Linked DNA regions of Solanum lycopersicum. The protein of the gene in region 1 interacts with the protein of each later gene in a pairwise test. Links are inferred from orthologs where the notes say so. Each region holds a gene or a part of one and is shown in the gene's direction. Other genes may lie near its edges. The genes, in order: Hop-interacting protein THI018 and FER.

Region 1 (8,936 bases):
TTATGATTTAAAATAAGTATAGATGACATTTTAAAAATTTAAATTGTTGCTAAATATAGAAAAGTTTTGTAATTCTTTTTGAAACTAACTAAGAAGAAAAATGAGTCATATAAATTGAGACAGATGAAGTAATATGTTTCATAAGTGTAAAAATAGGTATAAAGTGCAAAATTATCTTATAATTTTTCCAAATTGAATAGATAAAAATTGACATTTTTTGGTCCTAATTACAAACAACAAGAATCACATCTACTAAGAAATTAACAAATGCACTACATGATTAAAATCAATAAACTGTCTGAATTGAACATTATTACAAAAAAAAAGAGCATATGGATATAATTAAAAAATATATATTAATTTTTATCTTAAACTTTTAAGAAATCATTTATTTTTGAGTTATGCTAAATGTAAAACTAGGAAGACATTCATTTGATAGAATAGACAAGTATATATAGACGTGAAAAATACATTTTGCAAGATTAAAGACATGATAGCCACAAGAAAAAAGGTATAGAAAGGCCAAAAAAAAAAATATACATGTATTATTATCTAGGGAATTGAGTTCTATAGTGGGTAGAAAAAAAAATTCCCAATTTTCAAAGGGAAAATGAAAAAAAAAAAAGAAGAAGATATAAAGTAAGAGCGTGAAGGGTAGCTTTTGCACAGCTTGTTATATTGTTTTTATGCATATCTCAATCTATATCTTGGGTCCCCCTACACTTGGGACCCCCACCCCCCCTCTGGCAGTATGTTTTGACATTTTTGTATAAATAAATTGAGAACCAAAGCATTACAACCATTATATGACTTAACATTATGTGTGTGTAAATTAAAATGTAGACATTTTTTTTTGTTTGTGTGTGAGAAGGAGAAGCAATAATTAACAAGAAAAGATAGGGAAAACGAAAGATCTGGTCTGCTTGGGTTAAAATTCTTATAGTCGTAGAGATTCTATTAGTAAAATTTGAGTCGGTAAGATTTGTAGGGCATTTGGCCAATAATCTTGTGGGAGCATTTAGATGTGTCATGATGTGTGGATCATAGTAAATATTTCGTGACGGTGGTTAACAGTATATAGTGGTGACTGTCTGACTGATAATGATGATTGTAGATAATAATCAATAATTATTGTTGTAATGATAATTGGTGGTGATGATTTTTGGATAATGGCTAATAATAATGACAGTTGATTAGTGTAGCAACAGTATGAACGAGAATGATGATAGAGAAAAATGATAGGCGGCAGTGATGTTGGTTTTTAATGGTGGGTGATGATTGTAGCGTGAATAGATGGATTTGGTGAATTTTTATTTTTGTTAAAAATTTTGAGTTAAGTATTTTAATGATAAATTTATTGCAATTTTTTTTTAATTTTTGAGACTATTAAGATGTTGTATTTTGTAGCATAAACAAAATACAAACAGACTTAATGACTCTGATATAAATAAGAGAATTATGTTTAAAATTTTATTAAATAAAGTTATAACTGATATTAAAGTTAAAAATATTAATTAAAAAGAACTTTTCAATCTTAATGTTATTAAACTAAATGTGTTTGCGTTATAAGTTTATATTATGTTAAAAATATTATATAAGCTACATGATTTTAAAACCTGTTATATAACATCCCAAGAGTAACATAGGTTTAAACTTATTAAAAAGGAAAATGTAAAAACTAATGGACAAAATATTATCCAAATTTCAACTTGAAAAGTATTCTATTTTCCTTACATTTACAACAAATATTATCCAAATGCCTACTTTCATTATTTATTAATATATGTGTTACTCATGACATTGTTCTGCGGTACAAAGATACTACTAAGATTCAGGGGAAAAGATTAAATATTAGAATATTTACCAAGGAACAACATAATATAAAACTTTTTTTCTAAATTAAAAGATGCACGTTTGCATTCCTTCCGTTTAATTATGTACTAAAAATCTCGGATCCGTATAATTTTGATAATTATTTTTAAAAAAATGGTCCCTTATAACCTTTTTTTAAAATAAATAATTGAAATGAACGATAAAATGCATGAGAGTGAAGCATATCAAACGAGTCATTCTATATGAAAAAGTGAGTGGAAAAAAATAGAAAAAAAAAACATAATATATCGCTAGTAAATTTTATGAAGACTTAAATTACGCTTCTGTTTCAATAGCAACATTCAAATATATAATCATATTAAATACTTTTGCCTTCAATTTGGGAAAAGCTAATGATTGTGTTTTCAAGCGTCCATTACGTGAATATGTTAATTATTTATAATGTTTATATTATTAATCTTAATAAGTTGTAAAACCTCAAACACCTTCTAATTGAAATTGATGTATAAAATTTAAAAAGATGCTATAATTAATATTATTAATACAAATTAACAAATAATATCATAATACATCAATAATAGCGTATGATTGCGCTTAATGACTTGGCAAATATTTGAGATATTTCATTAGTTACCATGTATTGCCTATTGAAGAGAAGTTTAAATTGTATTAACTAATAACATTACTTTTTTTATATATATATAAAAGGCATTTATTATTTAATCGACAATTTTTCTTAATTTAAGGTATCCTTCAAAGTTTCTTTTTAAATTGGACTAAAAGTTCAAGATCGCATTTTACAACTTATAAAGGTTATCGATATGCTATTTTAGCAAATCACCCATTATAATTTTTTGTTAGTAGCTGCAATTTACTAGTCCAGATAATTTGAATTCACGCTAACTACGTCCACTAAAGACATAATTTATTTTATCAAAAAGTTTTTTTGTTCTTTTATTCTGAAATTTGAAAACTGACTATGATTATAAATTTTTATTCGTAGCGAAAATTTACTAATTTAAATAATTTGAATTCACGCTAACTAGGCCCACCTAAAGACATAATTTATTTTATCAAAAAGTTCGTTATTCTCTTATTCTAAAATTCGAAAGCTTTGATTAAGGACGACGACCCATCAATTACTAGCTATAATATGTCTTTGTCTTACCCATACTACTTCAGGAACTCAGTGGTTATCACTATAAAATACTAATTGAAGTCTTATAACACTCCATACAAATAGATAATAGAGTTAGTAAAACAAGTCAAATGTTCATTGGGGTTCTCAAAACAAAACAACACACACATACAAAGCCCTCTTACAAAGCAAAATCCAAGACCCTCCTACTTATCTAAAAAATCACAAACAAAAAAAAAAGTTATTCCAAATGGCTTTAGAAGCACTTTCTACCAATGAACTCCTCAACTTCATTATCTACGATACAATCTCTACCACCACCACCACCACCAATAGCAACAACAATCTTGATGAAAATGCCTTATTTTTTGACAATCATGAAGAAAATAATGCCTTTCTATTAAAGCCTCAAGATTTTTGTACTACTACTCCCTTAGAGCAACAATATTCCATCGCCGCCTCAGTGCCGCGACCAGAGTCTTCTAGAGAGAAGAATAATTTGTCGGTCGCGGCACAATCAGGAGGCGGCGGTGGAGGGAGAAAGAAAAGGAGAAGAAGACCTAAAATTTGTAAGAATAAAGAGGAAGCTGAAAATCAAAGAATGACTCACATTGCTGTTGAGAGAAATAGGAGGAAACAAATGAATGAACATCTTTCTGTTTTACGTTCTCTCATGCCTGAATCTTATGTTCAAAGGGTATGTATGTACACTAATTAATTTAATTACTCTTTTTTGTTAGTTTTAATTTACGTAAAAAAATTCAACATTTATATACTATATACTATAAGGTACTAATTCTTTTTTTTTTCTCTATAATTTATGCATGATGGTAAGTGCTTTTAGTAACGGCGAAGTTAGAAATTTAACATATTAGTAAGTTAAAACTTTTGAATTTTCATCATTAATATGAAAGTTTAGATAGTTAATCGATTAAGCCTATGTATACAGTTTTGAATTCTGCAAATTAGTAGGATAAAGTTTTTTTTTATTTTTGCCCTATTATTCATTTATTCTCGAATTATGAGCCCTAGTGCATACGAACAACTTTCAGACTTGGTCCCTCTACTAAAATTTACATAAATAAGTTCATAAAAAAAATTTGTTTTTTCTATATTTTTTCTTTGTGGGGTTTGATGTTTTTTTTTCTTTTAAGTGTTATATGTAGCTTTTATTTCCATTTAGGTACAAACAGGAAAAAGTATTGTCAAGGATTCGAGGAAAAAGAGGTTGAAAATAATTGAATAACAGAAAATAACGCTTTGCATTCAATTTTTCTAAATGACCCTACGTACATTTGTCAATTAATAACTTGAAAATCAATCATTTTGTGAATTTATTGTATGTAGTAGTAGTAGTACTGTGTAAGTTGGCATTTGATAAAGAATATTCATTGTAAGAATGTCTTATAGAACATTAAATAAGTTTTTCTTCTTGATAAAGACAATTGAGAACTGAGACGTAATTATCATTATTATTATTATTATTATGTTGTCGTTCATTCAGGGTGACCAAGCTTCAATCGTTGGTGGTGCAATTGAATTCGTAAAGGAATTAGAACACATTCTACAATCTCTTGAAGCACAAAAATTCGTATTATTACAACAACAACAAGAAGGCGGTACTAGTAATGATAATGATGATTGTGACGGTGGAAAGAGAGAAGTTTCGAAGGCGGATTATGTTGGGACCCCATTTGCTCAATTTTTCTCGTATCCACAATATACATGTTGTGAATTACCAAATAAATATACATCAAAGAGCAAGGCAGCTATAGCTGATATTGAAGTAACTTTAATTGAAACACATGCAAATGTTAGAATATTATCAAGAAGAAGATTTCGTCAGCTATCAAAATTGGTCGCTGCGTTTCAGTCATTGTACATTTCTGTCCTTCACCTCAATGTCACCACTTTAGATCCATTGGTTCTTTATTCAATAAGTGTTAAGGTACGATTTTCATTTCATTTTTTTTTTCTGAAAATTATTATTTTTATAATTAATTTTTTTTATTCGAAAGAAAATGACTAGAGATTGCAAGAATCTATATAGCACAGGTACTTTTCATTACATGAAAATATGAGCTACAAAAAAAAAAAAAGTTGTTGAGGGTATTTTGGGAATTTAAAAAGGTCTACTACTTTTTACTAATTTCAGAAGGCAATGATGGGTCAGAAAGGGTGTTTCTTTACAATTCTTGTATGGCGTTTCTTAGTAAAGTCATACTTGTCTTTTTGTACTTATGATTACGAATTATTTCAAAAAAAAATGATTTTTTTAATTTTTTTTTTAGTGGTTATGTCAAATTGTTCAATTGATACATTTTCTTATGTTGTTGTACCAAACAAATAAAATAAGTTTGATATGAATGGTGATAAAATTCGAATACTTAATCTTTCCTTTTTTCTGATATCATGTTAGATTATGTTATAACTAAGGAAAATAAAATTCAAAACATAGAATTTTTTGCTTTTTCTAATATCACGTTAGAATTGTGTACTAATAGATAGAAGATAAAACTCTGAATATGGTCATATTTTTTTCTTAAATTCTGAACATAAGAGATTTGCTTCTTTTTATGTCAATGTTAGATTGTGTTCGACAATGAATAACAATAAAACTCAGATATAAGATCTTTGAAATTAAATTAGAAATTCAAACATATTATTTTTTCTTTTTTCTAATATCATGTTAGAATTATGTGATATCGTATGACAATAAAAGTTAAACACATAATGTTTGCTTTCTCTGATATCATGTTAAATCGTGTTTGACGAAGTCTTTTATTATTTTTTTGTCCAAAAAAAATGGCAGGTGGAAGAAGGTTGCCAACTAAATTCAGCAGATGACATAGCAGGTGCAGTCCACCACATGCTAAGAATAATTGAGGAGGAAGCAGCTACACTTTAATTTCTTGCTAAGCCTAGGGAACACATCCCCCCCTGTTATCTTTATTTATCATGTTTTTTTTTTTTAATTCTTCTTAGTTTAAATCCAGTAGACAAAACAAAAAAAAAAGAAAAAAAAAGGACTTTGTTCAATGTTCATATTAATTAGTACCAGTAGAGTTCTTTCTTGTCGTCCTTGTACGTACGTACAACATGAGCTGTGATATTTTTTGTTTATAAATGTGTGACATTTGAGTACAATTAATTATTACAGTTTTTAGTACTACTCTTTTCTATAGTTACTCACATATAATTGTCGGGTTTTTTATAACACTAAATAGTGTAATACAGTACGTTTGATATATAACATATTAAATTATACTAATAATAATCATAATGATATCTTTTGTATGACAATATTTAGGTATATAAGTTAAATTCATAAATAATATGAAAAAATTAGACAGGATGACTATGTAATGAGAAATAGTTGAATATTTTTCAAGGCGAAAATCATAATTGAGGAAAAATACCTTAAGTTAAAATATGGATCAACGATCCACCATAACAAATTGAAGTTTTGACAAGTGAACTTCTAACATAATGTGCTAGAGCTCAAAAAAAAATTATCGAGTTATAAATGTAATTTAAATTTAAAGATATTTCTTTCATGATGTTTGAATTTATGAAGGACTTTTCATGGAATTTAAAAAAAGATTGTGTATGTATGACATATATTGTTAAATAGGAACATGCAATAAAATAATTAGTATGAAAATATTTTTTTTTTTGAACTCCATGATTGAAGGATTTATCCCAACTAGAGTTTGAACCGTGCATATAATAGTACTTATAAACATTTCAAGTTACACTGAAATTTTTAAATGTTTTTTGATTTAATCAGAGTTATATATGATCATCTAATTGATATTTTTCATATTGAAAAGTGATTAAACTGTAATTAATTTAGTACTAATGTTTTTTTTTTTAATAGAGGGAACCAAATTAATAAATATCCATTGTTTTTTAATAATGACTTTTGTCGTTGATGATTAAGACATATCCACCTTATTACTTCATGCATGGTCTATGGATTCCCTTCAATTTAGGGCAAGTCTAAATTTGTCATTTAACGAAGGTACATTTTTATTCTATTCTTCAGAAATTCGACCCTCTCTCAATTTACACCATTCAATCTTAATCTAAACTTTGCTCCACATGTAAATATTTGTCAACTATATTATATGCTCTCTCTTATTTATTTATTTTTGGAGATCATTTTTGTTTATGAGCAAATTATTGTGTAATAAAGTACTACATGATGTTTAGATTCATCTTCGGTGGAGTGGAGTCAGAATATTAAATTTATGAATACAAATTTTTGTTAGTTTAAGGACAAATATAAAAGTTTTATTAAATTATCGAGTTTAATTGAATGTAACTCCTTTTCTATGTCGCTCTACGACCTACGTTACTTACAAGATTCGTATAAAAAAATTGTATAAAATGACATTTCAAACCATGTATTAAACTCAAGCACATGTAGACGAGAGGGGATTTTGCTCAAATTGGTAAACACAAACTTCATATTGAATTGAATATGAATTCGAGTCATCAAATAAGAAAAAAGTATGAAGTTTTATGGAGAAGTAAAAAAACACATTTAGCTAGCACACTACAAAGGAAATGAGTTCATGCATATATATATATAAAATTTCACTTTTAACTGACGACTAGAGATGAATTTCAAATTTTAAATTTATTGTTTCTATATGATAAATTAAAACTTTGTTTAACTTATTAGGTTTGAATTGCGTTTTTTCGTAATAAGTAATTTTTTTAACATAATTATCAAGTTTGGGAGAAAGTTGCTAAGTTCAACCTAACCATAAATATATCTACATTTTAAGTTACCAAATTGTCTAAAAGTTCTTTTACATTGTTACTACAATGAAGTTAAATTTGTTGAAGGACAATTAATAAAATTTCAAGGTTAAAAATTGTAAAAAAAAAAGGATGTATATATGTGGTCCATCTCTATAGCTACAATTAACCAGGACAAAATTCATTTAAACGTTCTGGACTTTTATCCCTGTGCTTATATCTATAATTGTGCAAAAGCAAAACATGTTAGGTTGAAAAATATAGCAGTATTTGCATATGAGGTTGCTGTAATTACCATCAATTCTAGGGAAAAAATTGAACATTTCAAGAAAATTGATGTAATGTAGGGATATTTACGTAAATAACTAGTCGGGTTCAATATTGACTTTTCTTAATCGATATACATTAATTATACGCTGACTATATTAAGGTTATGCGATTGAATGTACAATTATTCGGGTTTTAATATTTGTGATTTTTACTAATAGTAGTTTCTTTTAGCAAATTAAATAAAAATGTGCAGAATTTTTGTGGTTCAATTCAAAGCAAAATTACCATAGTAAGTTTTTTTTTAATTTTTTTTGATTGTGGGGGTCACTCTGCAACTCTCATTAAAACACATGGCTTCTAGTGCTACAATTTGATAGAGACTTTTTAAAACGTTACAAAAAAACAATAATACACCCTTCTAATAAACGTATATTATTTTTTATTTAATTGTACACAATTCAAGAACATTGTAATCATCTAATTTCCCAAAAATCCAAGAATTGGTTTTCAGATTCTGTATAATTTGTACAAAAAAAAAAGTTTTTATCATCATCAGTTTGAGAAATGGCTAAAATACATGTGGCTACACATGCAAGTGCATGGACTCGATCTTTAGCAAAATATTTAAGAATATAATGTATTTTTCTTCTTTCTTTTCCGTATAGAAACAAATTCAGTCCTTTTGTTTTCACACAATTCAAGATAATATATATGAAATAATCTTAGGTATATATATGTCCAAAATTGTAACTTTTTTTGTTACCAACTAAAATGTTCACATTTTTTATTTTATCAATACTTCTTGTGTGGTTAATATCATTATTCTGTTCATGTAATAAGTCCAATTACTTTTTTCTTTTGGTGGATATATGTATACCTAAGCAAACAAATAATTATCTTAACTAAAGAGACGTTTATGGTCTTC
Region 2 (8,516 bases), on another chromosome or scaffold:
ATAATAAGATTAAGTGAATTGAATGAAATAATTATTGTCGATTCACAAGCATGGACAAACATTAAAATCTTCTAAAATGAAGGAACATATAATACATTCTCAGAAGAAAAGAAATGCTAGTCCATCACCTGTGACGAACCACTGTAAGGAGATGAAGATGATAAAAATGATCGATTGTTCATAACACGCACAATACTTCCTCCAAATTCATATTGGCAAATGATTTCGATAGTAAATTTAAACCATATGAATGATTGAAATGATTCCTACACTCCAAAGTAGTGTGCTTAAAGTGGAGGGATAATGTCCAAGTAGCCCCTCAACCTATGTCCAAAATCACAGAAACACACTTATACTATACTAAGGTCCTATTAACCCCTGAACTTATTTTATAAATAGTTTTCTACCATTTTCAGCCTACGTGGCACTAGTTAAAAAAAAAAAGTCAATCATCATTGGGCCCACAAGATAGTGCCACGTAGACAGAAAAGGGGCAGAAAATTATTTAAAAAATAAGTTCAGAGGTAATAGAACCTTAGTATAGTATAAGTGTGTCAAGGTGGAATATTAGTAAATTGTTATTTAATTTTTGTCAAGGTGGAATATTTTATTCAGTGAAATGTTACGTGTCAAAGGTTTTTTCAAATAAAAAAGAGTGTATTATACACACACCAATGAAATGTGTTTCTCAAACTAAAAGACGATAGTTTAGGTATGAAACTCGAATAAAGATCCGGTCAAATATAATTAGGTCAAGTAATGTTCAATGACCTTATAAATTCATGCCATGTATACTATAAAATAATTTATGGTTGAGATTGATTTAAATTATATATTCATCTTAATAATAAAAACAACGAAAGTGTCAATTTTTTTTATTTCTTAATACTATCAAATAAAACAATCAAGTGTATCATAGCTAACATTTTCAAGAAAAAATAAGACTACAAAAATATGAGTACTTTCCGACTTTTTAACCTGCCAAATCTCATACTTGTATTGAATTTTTTTGTATTATACTAATTTTAAAGAATCTGACGCTTTTGAAAATTCTGAATAAATGTATTTTTATAATTACTTGAAAACCTCCAATTAAGTATTTTTTTTATAAAAAAAATGTATTATCATGTTCTTATGTTGAATTATTATTTAGAACTCAATTATGTTTTTAAGTTTGATCTATTCTTGGAGATTTCTTCAGAATTTGGAGATGGCATGTGTGAAATTACTCCTGAACAAGTTTGTCGGGTAAAGAGTCAGAAAGATTGCGTTTTCCCATCAATCTTAATTTTTTTTTGTGAAAATATTAGTTTGGATACACATAATTGCTTTATTTGATAGTTTTAAAAAATAAAAAATTTGACAGCTTTGTTGTTTTATAATTATTATTAATGAGCATATAATTTAAGTTGATCTCAACTATAAATTATTATATAGTACACATGGCATGAATATGTAAGACCATTGAACATCACTTAACCTAATTATACTTGACCGAATCTTTACCCATGAAACGTACACTATCGATAATTTAGGTATGAAATAAAAAGAAGGGATAATTTATGTGTGTTTTTGATACTTATCTCAAAATAAGATTATATTAGTTATTTAGGTTGTTCACTCTCTTTGAGAGAGTGTACACACTCTCTATGTAAGGTAAACAAAAAAAATGATATAATAATATCAGTTTAATATTATTTACTGGGTAATAGGACGCTCACATAGTTAAGATTTTTTTTTTTGAAAATACGGGACAAGTTCATATGACACTCAATGTATTTTCTCCAAATATAAACAACTCAAACACATATGTTTTTGTTGTATAGATTTTTTTTTCTTAATGTCTTCTTAGTTGTTGATATTCCATTATATTGTGCATCCACATAAAAAAATAGAAATAATTGGAGAAAGAGAATTAACTTTGTAATACCATTGGGTAGAACTTAAATACGGTATTACTTAATACTGTATCAAATTAAAATTTAATTTATCAATCATCAAAATTACCAAGACGAAATTTAAAAAATTGATATCTACATTTAACTATCAACACCGAATTTAAAATTTGAGAATCCCAATCCGAAACGCCCACCTCTATCCAAAGTCATTAATTTTTGAGATCATACTCATACTCTATTAAATTAAGTAAATCAAGTTAATATATGATTGTTAGTGGCGGCAGACGGTGTGCTTGTGTGACACAACTCGTTGCACAACGCAAGCACGAGCTTTTATATTTAATTGGATAAAAGATTCTCATATAGAAAATTCCATCCATGGGCTTAGCTTGTGTCATGGGTTTTTGCAGTGGTTTCAGCATTAAATTAGATAACGGGGTACTTATATTGTTAAACAAGAAAGTATAGTAGAAAGTAAAAAGTAAATTAAATAATGCTACGACTATTAATTTTCTTGAAAATGGGAATAGTAAAAGGTAAAAGTTACAACTTAAGTCATTTCTTAAGTGTTATCTGTTCTTTCGAACTAGGGATAACAAATAAGTGAATTAAATTAGATTGAATTTGAATAAACGAAATATAAATTGAATTAAAATGCATTGGATTGCAAAAAAAAAAAAATAGAACTTTTTTCTATGAAAAAATTTGCCAACTCTACCCCCACCCCCATCTCAGGACACCTCCTACCAAAAAAATTTCCAAAAAGAAATAAATTGCCTCCGCCCACAGCTCCCCCCTCCCCCCTATCCCCCCCACCCCAACCCAATATTTTATTTTTGTTCTCAAAAACAAATAGGGCAACTAGAGATTTTTATCATAAGTTAGTGTGTTATATGAGTATATGGATATTCTCATTTTACCCATTTTGTTCATAATATTTGTATGAACTTAAACAGGTTAAAGTTTATATTATCCATTTAAGAATAGAAAATTACATAGAAAAATTAATATATATTGGTTGCTTAGCTAATATAGCTATAGTTTGAATCAATTACGGCTCATAACTTAATTTTAGATGTAATTACGTAGCAGGTCCTCTTTTATACACACTATTGCTCTCCTCTCTTCTCTCTTCCAATCTCGTTCGCCAGACACACACACTTGCTCTCCTCTCTCTCTCTATCGATCTCTCTCTCGCGCACACACACAATCCCCTCTCCCCACTCCCTCCCCTCTCTGCTTGTCTCTCTCCTCCCTTTGACATTCTTGGCCGCTATATCATATACAAATAAATATATATACCAGTTACATATATATCATTATTTGATAGCTATACGTACACGATTTAACATATATACATATACATTTCGCCTCTCTCCAATCTCTACGTTCTCTCACTCGCCTCTCTTCTTCCTCTCCCAATCACTCCTCTCTCTGACATGTAGCTATGAATGAGAATTAACAAACTATAGATATGAAGCATAATTAAGTTACTTTTGAGTGACTATATGTGAAAATTCTCCGTTTAAAAAAATATGAGTGATGGCCATTTCATTTAATTAATATGGGAAAAATAGATTTATTTCACTTATATGTATTGAAATTGTCATCCTTTGTACACAGTATAATTTTGGGAAACTTATATAAATATACTATATTAAGAAAATACTTATTATTTATAGCAACAACATTTGATCACTTTTAATACATTTATATTACAGTTTTAATACATATGATAGAGAACAATTTATAAAAACACATATAATACAACTTCTATTGATGAATAATGCATTTATCACATTTTAATATAATGTGTAAATTTCTTATTAATCAAGCATGATATATTACATACATAATTCATTTTAATACATATTACAGATTTATTATGATATTACGATAAATGGTCATAAATAAAAATATCACTAAAATTAATAATTATTTATTAAAATATATTTATCTAAGTAATTTTTCAATAAAAAGTGTCCAATAGCCATAGGACAGGGTAGCTCCGACCCCAGAGTGAGTAGTGAGCATATTAAATGATGTCTTAGTCGTGATACTAATATATATATATATATTGAGGCACAAAATAAATAAAAAGAATATTTAGTTAGATTAGTAAAATTAGATCATGACATCCTCTCTTACTTCATCAATACTTAAAACAAAAAGTAGTACGTGGTGGAATCTGGTGAAGGTTCATTTGATGCCTAAATAAAATTAAAATTAGATTAAATTAAAATTTGTCAACAACCCTTAGGGTTTTAATATTAGTTTTAACAACTCCAAGTCACTATATTCGATTCCCTTTGTTATAGTAATTAATATTAATCAAACATCTATAAATCCCCAGTAGACCCCTCTCACTATTTCTCCAAAATAAAAAAAAAATGGAGAGTGGTAATGCATCAATGGAAAATAATAATGTTAATGATATTGGGCTTATTAATTTCTTGGATGAGGATAATTTTGAACAATTCATTGAGCTTATTAGGGGTGAAACTGCTGATCCTATTGTAAATTTTTGCCCAAACTATGATTGTGAACATATGACAGGTTGTTTTTCCGCAGCCAATGCCCAATTTGAGCCAATATTATCGTCGATGGATTTCTATGATACAACATTGCCAGATCCTATTTCGCTATATAACTGCGAAATCAAGCTGGATAATAATGATGATGAAGACGATGATGAATCTTCTGGCACAACGGCTACCACCAAAATGACTCCAACAAGCAAAGGCACGAGGACTGACCGGTCCAGAACTTTGATTTCGGAGCGCAAAAGGAGAGGAAGAATGAAGGAAAAGCTTTACGCTTTGCGATCCTTAGTTCCTAATATCACAAAGGTATGTATGTACATGCGGATTCAGGATTGAAAGGTTGTGGGTGCTTAAAAAAAATTTTAAAAAAAAGAAATGCTACTGGCGAGATTGAACGCTTGCCAGTGGCTTCGCGCGCCTCTTATTGCAGAGGTTTAAACCAACTCACCTACAGCTACTTTTGTTATATGAGTGCTCATTTAAATTATAATAACATATATATCATATTTTATATATATATATTAAAAATTTTCGAAAATCAATGGATGCTCGAGTACCCGCGTCTGGCTTACTGGGTCCGCCCCTGTATATGTATGTATGTAGTTTCAAATATTGATAAGACCCTTCACCCTCAATCAATTTCATGATGATTTTTTGTTTGATTGGCAGATGGATAAAGCCTCCATCATTGGAGATGCAATATTATACGTACAAGGACTACAAACCAAAGCAAAGAAACTTAAAGTTGAAATAGCAGAGTTTGAGTCATCAAGTGGAATATTTCAAAATGCAAAGAAAATGAATTTCACAACCTATTATCCAGCAATCAAGAGGATAACAAAGGTTTGTTTAGTTTTTACTAAAAACTTGTTAATTACTTATTTTACCAAATAAAACATAAATAAATGGTATATATTGCAGATGGACATTAATCAAGTAGAAGAAAAAGGATTTTACGTGAGATTAATTTGCAACAAAGGGCGACACATTGCAGCTTCTCTTTTCAAAGCTCTTGAGTCTCTCAATGGATTCAATGTTCAAACTTCCAACTTGGCTACTTCTACCAATGATTACATTTTCACCTTCACTCTTTATGTAGGTTACCAAACTTACATTATTCTTGCAATTATTTAGTTTCAACTTTCCACCTCATATATTTAACATCTCAAAATTAAAAAAGTATATATTTTGATACATTTTAGTCTAAACTACAATATTCAAAAATGTTTCTTTATTTTCTTAAATTCAATATGTCAAAGTCAAAATAAGATAAATAAATTGAATGAAGAAAGTAATTATCAATTCATTTGCACCTATTTTTGTTTATTGGAAATCTATGTATAGTGATCCTTTTTGTTGTTGTTTTTTTGTGTGGAAATGGATATGCAGGTGAGAGAATGTCATGAGGTGGACATAAACTTTGGCAATTTGAAGCTATGGATAGCTAGTGCTTTTCTTAATCAAGGGTTTGACTTCGAGACATCTCCGTTGGTCTAATATCATGTTATTATTGTAACTTTCTAAAATACTGAACTATATTTAATTTGTATTATCATTTAGTACTCATTATCCAAACTAAACGGGACTTTTACTTAATGAAGGAACACTTGTTTTGATTTTATCATCATGACTTTATTCTTCCTTATCTTCAAAACAACAATTGATTTACAAATAGATAATGAGGAAATTAAGATCAAATCCTCCCCACTAACCTAGAATTAATTTGAAGTTGTTAAGTTATAAATGTTTAAATTAATAATTTTAATTACATATTAAATGAGTATAATGTTTAGATAATTATTGGGTTCGATCAAATTCATTCTTCAATAATATTGAGTTTGATCGAGAATCCATGCCTCAACGTGCATGCTCGACTTTGTTGTATTTGGAAGCATGAATTTGCAAAGCCAACAAGTAAGGAATGTGGCCAAAATAGTCTCATCTCTAGTGACTCTTCCGTGTCTAGCTCGCCAAAGGGAGCATTCTCCTCGTCAGTCCATGGTCGACATCTCGAGCCATCTCAGAAAGAAATGGAAATCTAGCTGAGTTAACTTTCCACCAAATCAATACATCAAAATCAGAGTTTCCAATTTCAGTTTTTTCATCAAGATATTTAACTAATTCTGACTTGAACTTGCTCCTCCCTTTTCAGATTTATGTTTATGTAATTCCTCCAAAAATATTTTAAATTCTCCTATAGAACTTGAAATAGAAGTACCACCTCAGTTGAAGAAAATTGGCCACTTTTATCATTTGAAATGAGCTTTGTATACTCATTAAACAAAGCTTCCATGTACGTTCGCACACCATTTTCTAAAGCAACCCCTTTTTATCCAAACATCTTCTTAAATGCAAAGCCAAGAGTACTAAACTTGTGACGAGGATCCAAAACACATGGTATGAAAATCATCTTATTCATTTTTTCAGTATCATCCCAATATTTGTCAAATTTCTCTTTCATATTTTCTGCCATTTTAACGAAAACTTGATCTTTATTTGATATCAATTGATTCAAGTAAACACCAACTTGACAAATTTCAAGAAAATGAATATTTGATGCAACATATCGTGATCCATATATCTTCAAAGTAAGATTAAAAAACATTTTAAGAAATTGTGTAATTCTCTTTACGCCTTCCCAGTCACTACTCAAAAGTGTACCTGTAGAATTTTTATCAACAAACTTAATATATAGTGTCAAGCTAATATCACGATCGACGTACTCTACAATTTCCCCTTCATATTCAATAACCCTGCTCAACATCATGTAGGTGGAATTCCACCTTGTAGGAACATCTAATCATAAAGACTTTTTAGCAAGATTTTCATCTTCACAACATTCTTGAAACTTTTTCCACCTAGCAGGAGATTGTCTGATGTAACTCACTGATTGCCTAACTCGTTCAATAGGCACATTTGCTTCTTTTGTACCATCTTGAACAATAAGATTTACAATGAGTCATACACCTTATATGAAGGTGACTACTACCCATTAAGTTGGTCTCCTATTTAGTTAATTTCTTAGAAAACTCAGTTATTGTGACACTATTTGAATCAACACTATCAACTATAATAGTGAAAATTCGATGCAATCCCCACTTATGTAAGCACTTACTAATAGACTTTCCAAGATTTTCACCTCTATAACTAGTGATTGGACAAAAGTTGATAATTCTTTTATGCAAAGTCCAATTTTTATCAATCCAATGAGCAGTAATGACCATATAATTGATTCTCTGTATGAAAGTCCAATTATCAGTGGTTAAATACACCCTTTGTTGTGTTTCCGTAAAAACATCCATCAACTTACATTTTTCTTCATCAAGATGATCAAAACAGTCACAAGTCACAGTGGTACGGGAAGGGATGTGGAAACAAGGTTGTGCTACTTCCACAAATTGTTTAAAACCTTATTTTTCAACAAATCTGAAAGGAAGGCCATCAATAATTATCATACGACGCAAGACCTTTCTACACTTTTCCTAGCCAAGTTTCCATGGAACAACAACTACATCACCATTGTTACCACCTATCATTGGTTGAAATGCTAATCTTGATTGTTTAATATCAATATTATAAGACATCTTTGTGCATTTGTTTATATGAGTAAGCATTGACGTCGTACCATGTTCTTTTGTGTAAGCAAAATACTCTTTCTTACAATAGTTACAAACAACCTTTTCACTTCCTTTAGAATTAGTTTTATAAGTAAAATGATTCCACACACGAGATCTTTTTTTCTTCCTTTCCTTACTTTAGACTCAATAGTTTGACTTTGATCTATTGCATTTGAATTAGAAGCCCCACTTTCACCAATAACCTTATGATATTTTCAGCCATGATACTTTTCACCAAAAATTGCGAAAAGATATAAAAACTAAGTAATTTTATTAAAGAAAGAACTACAAGTACAAACAATAGGTTAAGTGGTATCAAATTTTTACACACTTGACAATAGACACATCACAGTTCACCCAAAGCAACAACTAGAAGACAACAAAGTGCAAACAAATGAGCCAAAGTGCCAAGCTGTGAATTTCTACAGCATTGAACAACTTCCAAAAATTCTTGAGAC

What was found.
Region 2: the proteins of Hop-interacting protein THI018 (region 1) and FER interact in binary tests that used the Arabidopsis thaliana proteins (3 or more experiments, as listed by UniProt). The link is inferred for Solanum lycopersicum from reciprocal best matches to the Arabidopsis thaliana genes bHLH071 and FRU.

What each region holds. Positions count from the first base shown.
Region 1 is NC_090807.1:62,879,151-62,888,086, forward strand, and holds Hop-interacting protein THI018, read left to right. Parts: upstream 1-3,221; coding exon 3,222-3,668; intron 3,669-4,475; coding exon 4,476-4,919; intron 4,920-5,783; coding exon 5,784-5,879; downstream 5,880-8,936. UniProt on the Arabidopsis thaliana protein: Transcription factor. May be involved in the differentiation of stomatal guard cells.
Region 2 is NC_090805.1:37,597,099-37,605,614, reverse strand, and holds FER (bHLH transcriptional regulator), read left to right. Parts: upstream 1-4,274; 5' UTR 4,275-4,288; coding exon 4,289-4,747; intron 4,748-5,110; coding exon 5,111-5,284; intron 5,285-5,362; coding exon 5,363-5,536; intron 5,537-5,830; coding exon 5,831-5,938; 3' UTR 5,939-6,057; downstream 6,058-8,516. UniProt on the Arabidopsis thaliana protein: Transcription factor. Essential protein involved in iron uptake responses. Regulates FRO2 at the level of mRNA accumulation and IRT1 at the level of protein accumulation. Confers enhanced iron mobilization responses at low iron supply.